2 linked regions of the Oryctolagus cuniculus genome follow. Each later gene encodes a partner of the first gene's protein in a complex. Links are inferred from orthologs where the notes say so. Each region holds a gene or a part of one and is shown on either strand. Other genes may lie near its edges.

Region 1 (3,796 bases):
CAGGAGGATGCACAGGCGATGGTGCAGCTCATTCGCTACATGCACACCTACTGCCTCCCGCAGAAGAAGCAGCCCCCGCAGGCCCCAGAGCCAGCCCCCCAGCCCTGCAGCAGCCCTGCCAAGCAGGTCAGACCCCAGTCCGGCTCCCGGCACCCCTCCAAAGCCTCCTGGGCCGAGTTCTCCATCCTGAGGGAGCTTCTGGCCCAGGATGTCCTCTGTGATGTCAGCAAACCCTACCGCCTGGCCACGCCTGTCTACGCCTCCCTCACGCCCCAGCCCAGACCCGCACCCCCCAGAGACGGTCAGGCGCCCCCAGGGGGCCCCTCCCCTGTGGAGGAGGTGAGGATCGCGGCTTCACCCAAGAGCACGGGGCCCAGACCCAGCCTGCGGCCCCTGCGGCTCGACGTGAAAGAGGAGCTCAGCTGGCCTGGTGGGCTGCATCGGCCGCGGGAGGAGGACGAGGAGGAGGACGACGAGGAGGAGGAAGAGAAAGAGGAAGATGAGGAGGAGGAAGACGAGGAGGAGGAGGAGTGGGGCAGGAAGAGGCTGGGCCGAGGGGTGCCGTGGACCAAGCTGGGGAGGAAGCAGGAGAGCTCCGTGTGCCCCGTGCGCCGCTCCCGGAGACTGAACCCCGAGCTGGGCCCCTGGCTGGCGTTCACGGACGAGACGCTGGTCCCCACCAAGCCGCCAGGCGCGCTGCCCTCCCTCTGCCCAGCCTCCGAGGCCTACACCATGGAGGGGGACAGCCCCACAGATGAGGACAGTGGCCGAGAGCATGTGCAAGGACCCCAGATCTCTGCCCTGGAGAGTCCCTGCGAGAGCGGGTGCGGGGACACCGACGAGGACCCCGGCTGCCCGCGGCTCCCCTCCGGAGGTAGTCAGGATGGGCAGGTTGGGAGGAGGGGGCGGGGACGGCTGGTAGCAAACCCCGCGGGAGCCCTGTGCCCACGTCTCCCGCCCCCTCTCTGGCTTTCAACTTCTCTTTCTGTACAAGGGGTGGATCTGCGGGGGAGCACCGTACAGCTCTAAGCTTGTCATCATGCCAGGGAGAAGGCGCTGCTCTATGAGCCAAGAGCAAGAGGCCTGCCCTTGTGGGGCTGCTGGGGAGGTGGGGGGGGAGACACAGTCTTCCTGGGGGCGAGCTGTGCACCTGCAGTCACCTCCACGGTCAAGGTGTCTTGTAAACGCTAGTAGCGGTGGTAATGAGGATAATGAGAGGTGCAGAGTAGTCCCCCTGCTGCCAGGCAGTGGTCTAAGGAGTCACATTATTTGCACGGATGCCTCTCAAGGGCCTCCTGCCTTAGGATGCAGACACCGAGGTCCTGTGCGGGACTCCGCCCAGAGCCCTCGGCTGCGGGATTTGGGAACTCTCTGCCGTGGTGCTACTCCATGTGGCCAGAAGGGGTCGCCCTCGGATCCCTGTGCTCTTTCTCCTGGACAGCCCTTTGCACCTGCTGACGTCCTGGGTGTGGGGAAGGTGGCTTTCCGTGCCTGCTCTCCCCTAAAGATGGCAGAAGCCTGTGGGCCACCTGCCTGAGCGGCAGCTGTGCTTGGCACCAGTGGAAGTTTGGGGTCTTTCTAGATGGAAATTTTATTTGTCTTTTTTTTTTTTTTGGTCTTCTTTTCAGAATCTCCCAGGTGCCTCATGCTGGCCTTGTCACAAAGGTAGATTTCTTAACAATGTTTGGTATAGCCGACAGTCTGGGAGGTTTTGCCATGTTGGGTGTTTGTGTTGGGGGTGCTGGGGTGGGGAGGTTCATCAGCCCCTGCCCTGATCGCCATCTGGGGCCCTCAGGAGCTGGGTTTTAGGAACAAGGTCCTGCAGGCCCAGGGGAGGGAGGGAGAGGCAAGGCTGGGGTCACTGCAGAAGCTGTTCCTCTGGGGAAAGAGCGCTTTCCTCCATGGGCAGAAGCTGAGCAGGCTGTGTGACTTTGGGAAAGTCCCTTGCCCCCTCTGGGCCTCGGTTGCTGTCTGTAAAGGAAGGAGGCCGTGAGCCTTGCCTTCTCTATCTTCTGTCCACACAAACCTTGTCTGTGTCCTGAGAGCTGTGCAGCCAGTATGGGAAAGTCCCCGCTGCAGATTGTACCAGGCCCCGTTCCCACGGGCGCCAGAGCCAGGGTCCACCTGGTGTCCCCGTGCCCGCCTTGGGTGCTGGGGGGAGGGGGTGGGAGCTGCTGCTGCTCACTGGCCTCTTTCCTCTCTGTCCTCCTGCCCCCACCAGCGACCCTCCCTTTGGCAAGAAGAGCTTTGAGCAGACCTTGACAGTGGAGCTCTGTGGCACGGCAGGTAAGCAGGGTGGCTCGGCTGCTGGGTGCCTTTCGGGGAGCTGGCAAACCCCTCATGCAATGAGGGGGTGCGCACCAAGCCCTCCCAACCTGCAGCTGTGACAGGTGCTGAGATGCACAATAAGGAGCAGCCTGTGGTCTTGGGGCGGCAGAGCCTCACTCCCTGCTGAGCACCGTCTCACCTGCGCCTGGTTTGAAGTATTGGCAAAAGCCCTGGGATGCAGAGAGGGGCTGGACTGGGCTGGGCAGGGGTGTGGCCTGGGCAGACTTTGCAGGGTACCCCGAGCAGGGCCTTTTGTGCTGGATAAATGGACCCAGGCAAGCCACAGAAGGGCAACAGTGTGCTGGCAGGGAGGGCTCAGAGGGGTGAGGGGCGGGGTCTATCGGAGATGCTGAACCCGGTCTCACTGCGCAAGTCAGAGGTTCACCCTGCGGGTGTTAGGAGCCCCAGAGAGGAAGAGATGGGCATTTCATTGAGTTCTTTTTGGTGCATAGGGAGAGTAGAGGCCAAGGGCAAGGGTAGAATCGCAATAGGGTATGGCCCTGGTCAAGTCTAGGTGGACAGTTTTACCTCTGCTACCTGCTCTGCTCTGTGGTGTTTGGGAGACAGGACTGGGGAGACTTGCTGAGCACTGGCCTGCGGGCCAAAAGAGACAGCTTGGTGACTTGGAGGCTCCAGCTGCCATCAGCAGCCCACAGAGCAGCTGCCAGGTGCATTCCATCCCGTGCCAACCACAGAGAGTTGGAGGGTTCCCGGGGTGCCGTCTAGGCTCGGCCAGCAGCAGGGCGGCCAGTTGGTGACACCCGTGATCCATCAAGCTCAGGGAGTAGGGGCACATAGCCAGCTCTGTGCCTTCCAAATGGGGCTCCTCATGGCCCCAGGGCCAGAGATGCGTCTTGCCTCACAGATGTCTCGTCTTGCAGGGCTCACCCCACCCACCACGCCTCCATACAAGCCCATGGAGGAGGACCCCTTCAAGCCCAACCCCAAGCACAGCCTGGACAAAGACGCAGCTCCCAGCCCCCCATCCCCTGAGGGTCTCCAGCTCGGGGCCGCCCCAGGGGCTGCCCACAAACTGCCAAAGAAGCCCCCAGAGCGGAGCGAGCTCCTCTCCCACCTGCGGCACGCCGCGGCCCCGCCGGCCTCCCAGGCTGGCCAGAAGCGCCCCTTCTCCTGTTCCTTCGGAGACCACGACTACTGCCAGGTGCTCAGGCCGGAGGGTGCCCTGCAGAGGAAGGTGCTGAGGTCCTGGGAGCCTTCCGGGGTCCACCCTGAGGACTGGCCCCAGCCGGGGACCCTGTGTGCCGAGACGCAGGTCCCCGGCAGGGAGGAGGACAGAAGCTGTGCCGCTGGCGGCCCACCCAAGGACAGCGTGCTGCTCAGAGACCACGAGATCCGCGCCAGCCTCACCAAGCACTTTGGGCTGCTGGAGACCGCCCTGGAGGACGAGGACCTGGCCTCGTGCAAGAGCCCCGAGTATGACACCGTCTTTGAGGACAGCAGCAGCAGC
Region 2 (3,896 bases), on another chromosome or scaffold:
CGATCCGCCACCTCTGCTACTTAGTCCTCACTTCAAGCCTTCCTCTCACCAAACTGGAAAATCAGATTCTGAGCTGGGGTTTCCCCAGCCACGCGGCCTGCAAGGTGACCTCGCTCCCCTACGTAACTAATAAGGCTGAAGGGACAGATGCCATGCCTTGTGAAACACTGACTCCATCCCAAGCCACGGAAACCAGAAAGCGCAACAGAGACCCTCACATTCCAAGAGAGCAGCCTCAGGCCACTTGCACTAACTGCAGGGCCACACCCTTAGCATGCCGTGAAGCTAAGACCCCAGCCACCTGGAAGCGAAGCCACGCATCCCATTTGCCATGAAGAATTTCCCCACTCACACACAGTCTATGAAAGGCAAAAGAGAAAAATTGGCATGTTCAAACTTTGTTTTCAACAAAGAAACATTGTGATTAATGTGTTTTTAAAAGGATTATTATAAATCCATGTATATATATATGTATGTATACACACACACGTATACATATACATATATATAAAACACAGGCGCTTACGGGCAGCAGGCAAGAGAAAGGGCCCAGGTCACCAACCGCCAACCCAACGCACAAAGCAGCCCTGCCAAAATGTCCCCTCCCTGCCCACCTGCCCCTCACCCTGACCAAGGGTGACAATCTGTGAGCTTTTGTCTATACTCTAGTATGGAACCCAGTTTCACCAGAGGTCCGCGGGGGTCTCGTTCAACACTGGGCACAGTAGCCCACAGCAGCCACTCCGGAAGTAGCTATATGATGAGCCGATTTTAAAAGTCTGTGGAAAGCGGAATTAAAAGTTCACTTTACAAAAAGAAAAGTCTGAAATCTGTGCATATGAAAGGCTTTCCAAGAGTGCGTGGAAAATGCCCATTATGAGCAAACCACGCACACGTTTCACATCTTCTCAGTTTCGGCTTTCCACAAACTTTCTGAAGTAGCCTTGTCTCTACAGGGACCGGCTAAATAATTATTGTATCTAAATGTAATGGAGTATTAGACAAATGCAGGCGCATTTCATTCACCTGGAAGCTGCGTCCGGGGATGAAGCAGCCACAAAGTATTTGCCAAGAAACACAGTTTCTCCTTGTCTCTCACACCTTGTCTCTCACACGCACGCACGCAAGGGGCTGCTTTATGATGCTGGTGGACCTTGGTCAGGCGTGTCAGACTTGAGCAAACAGAAAACCTCCTCCTCCACCGTCAGTTCCCGTGCTTCTGCTCCCAGTCCTGGAGACCGCTGCGGGTGGGCAGCGACCACGCACACCCTCCCACACCGGGCCTGCGGCTCTGGAGCTGACCCCGACCCCCAGGTCACCTGCAGTCTCCCCACACGACAACAGCCCTTCCCCAGCGCCCGCTGAGTAGCACTGCTTCTCAGAGTCACCGCATCTCCCTATGAATCACAGGAAAGCAGCCAGCCAAACCCACATCAGAACTCCCCAACTCAGAACCCAGAAGCAAACCTATCCCGGGGTCTCCTGGGACACAGGGAAAAGACATGAAAGCTTTGCATCACAAAGAAACCATTAACCCCCAAACTTACTGCAGTGGAAACAGACCCTTCCATACCTCACCCTGGAGACTGAAATCAAACTCTGTTTACCTTCGGTGACACCGCCTTGCTTCTGAGCTTGTCACTTCTCCCAGAGGCAGGGCCCGGGACTCCAGCCCTGGCTGAGGAGGGACAGGACGAGACGGTTACAATGTGTTCCCTGGATGCCCCCCAGCCTCCGGCCCTTGCAAGGGGAAAGTCACGGTGACCCTGCCTTCGCCCAGGGTCGTTCTCAGTGAAGCCCCGTGCTCCTCCTCCCTACCAGCCAGCAGCCCTGCGAGCGGGGGCGGGGCGGGGGGCGCCCTGATTCCCTTGGGAATGGGGGTGGCAGGGGTCGCGGTGCCTGTGCAGACCCAGCCGGCCGAGAGCGCTCCACCTACTGCCCAGTCCTGGAGTTTTCTTAGAAAGAACCCTGACATTTGGGGCACATCTCTTCAACTTTTTTTTAAACAGGGGTTTGGGTAACGTGGGGGCGTGCCATGGTCCCCCCACCAACCAGGGTGGGCGCTGGGTAGAGCCGACCCCCCCTTCCCAACCTTGCACCCGCTCCAGCGGGCCAGGCCGGACCGGTCCCGAGGAGCCGCGGGAGGCCGGGGACAGGAAAGACACCTCGCAGCCCAGCGGAACCTGCCGGGGAACCCGCGGCTGCCCACGGCGCCCGGCGCACAGGGGCCCAGGCGCGCGACAGCAACCGCGCGCGCGTGTCCCCGTCGGGCTGCAGGACGGCGCGCACCGGCGCCGAGAGTCTGTCCGGGACACGAGTTACCTAGCCTCGGGGGTCCCTGGGGGTCTCGAAAACGCCCCCAGCTCTGTGACACTCGAACTCCACAGCGCACCGACGTCCCCGCCGCGGGCCTGGCCTCCCAGGGGACACCGAAGGACCCAGCGTCAGGAGGTCTCCGGCTCCGCCGACAGCCTCGGGCGCTTGGAGGGGCACCGAGCGAGAGCGGCCCCTGGTCCCGGGACCCTACTCGGGTCCCCGGCGAGTGCCCTCGCCCCGCGCCCCCGGGCCATGCGCATGCGCCGCCCGGCCCCTCCCGTCCGCGTCCGCCGCCCTCTCGGCCCGGGGCAGCAGAGGCCCGGCCCGGCCCGCGCCGCGGACCCCGCTCGCGCCGCCCACCCCCGGCACCTGGGCCCGCGGTCCGCCGCCTGCTGGTCCGCGGGGCGAGCGCCGAGGGAGGCGGCGCCAGGCCGGGCGCTAGCGGCCGCCTCCGCCCCGCCGCCCCTTGCCCGCGCCGTGGGGCCGCCGCGTCCCGGCCCTGCCCGGCGCCGCCTCCGCCCGCCCGTGCCAGCCGCGCCCCGCCCGCGCCACGCGCCGCCCCTCGGCGCGCCCCGCCCGGTCCGGCCGCGCGGGACCGACCCGGAAGCCCCGCCCCGGGCCCCGGCCGCGGCCCCGCGCGGGACGCACCCACCGGACGGCGGCGCCCGATTGGCCGCCGGCGGGGGCGGGGCCGGGACAGCCCTCGCGACTCCCACTGCGCGCCCCGCAGCCGCGGAGCTGGGGGAAACTGAGGCCCGGGAGGCAAAGGGACTGCCCAAGGTCGCCCCGCGGATGGCTGGCGTGGGGGGCGGGGAAGGGGAGGCGAGGGTCCCGCCGGGCGCCCGTGCCGCGCTGGCGAGGCCCTGAGCGCTCGCGGAACTCGGCTCCGCACGGCGCGACGAGGGGGTCTTGGCCAGGGCCCGGGGACCGGTGCCTAGGGTCTCGGGAGTCCGTGGGGTGCGGGGCGGGAGGACGGGGAAGGGCGTTCCGAGAGCCCCAGGACGCGTCAGCAGGTGGCGGAGGTGCCAGGCCGTGGGCACGAGTGTGAAGGGCAACGGGGACAGGGCGGGGAGGCGCCGCCAGCTCCGACCCCCGCCCCGGCTGCCGGTTCCCTGGGGGTGAGAGAGGACTTTGTGCCCAGCGAGGCGCGCGGGCCCTGCCAGCGCACTGGGAGGTCGCGGCCCCGCAGCCAGTGGCGAGGCTGAGGGGACAGCGCGCAGAGCCGCTCCGGGTGCGCAGCGCCCGGCGCCCCTTGCCGCGGGAACGAAACTTGTGCAATGTCCGCCCAGCGCCGCGGCGGCGGGCTCCCGGGGTGACCTCGTAAGTGAGCGGGCGCGGCTTCCACCCAGGTCACCGCGCCGCGCAGGGGCTGCAGACCCTGGCCTTGGGGCCATTTCGCAAGCTTCTTGGAAAGTCACTCCTGTCGGTTAGCTGGGACTGCTGTGAACTCTGCCCCACCCCCTGGACACCCACGCTCGATCGGGCCTGCCCAACTCTACCTGCGCACGCCGGCCAGCAAATGCCAGTCTGTGCGCCTTCCAGAGCCGGGCTGAACACAGACCCTGGTAGCTCCCCGGTGG

What was found.
Region 2: the proteins of PPARGC1B (region 1) and PPARA are in contact, whole or in part, in a crystal structure (PDB 3SP6), measured with the Homo sapiens proteins. The link is inferred for Oryctolagus cuniculus from reciprocal best matches to the Homo sapiens genes PPARGC1B and PPARA. Residues at the interface, in NP_573570.3 of Homo sapiens: Ser154, Leu155, Leu156, Gln157, Leu159, Leu160, Leu161, Thr163; in NP_001001928.1 of Homo sapiens: Val284, Thr285, Thr288, Glu289, Lys292, Phe297, Leu302, Asn303, Gln305, Val306, Leu309, Pro458, Leu459, Glu462, Ile463.

The regions. Positions count from the first base shown.
Region 1 is NC_091437.1:37,163,437-37,167,232, forward strand, and holds part of PPARGC1B (peroxisome proliferator-activated receptor gamma coactivator 1-beta), read left to right. Parts: coding exon 1-874; intron 875-1,628; coding exon 1,629-1,665; intron 1,666-2,221; coding exon 2,222-2,286; intron 2,287-3,209; coding exon 3,210-3,796. UniProt on the Homo sapiens protein: Plays a role of stimulator of transcription factors and nuclear receptors activities. Activates transcriptional activity of estrogen receptor alpha, nuclear respiratory factor 1 (NRF1) and glucocorticoid receptor in the presence of glucocorticoids.
Region 2 is NC_091442.1:120,675,591-120,679,486, reverse strand, and holds the start of PPARA (peroxisome proliferator-activated receptor alpha), read right to left. Parts: upstream 2,841-3,896; 5' UTR 2,686-2,840; intron 2,678-2,685; exon of another isoform or gene 2,323-2,677; intron 1,679-2,322; 5' UTR 1,608-1,678; exon of another isoform or gene 1,574-1,607; intron 1-1,573. UniProt on the Homo sapiens protein: Ligand-activated transcription factor. Key regulator of lipid metabolism. Activated by the endogenous ligand 1-palmitoyl-2-oleoyl-sn-glycerol-3-phosphocholine (16:0/18:1-GPC). Activated by oleylethanolamide, a naturally occurring lipid that regulates satiety.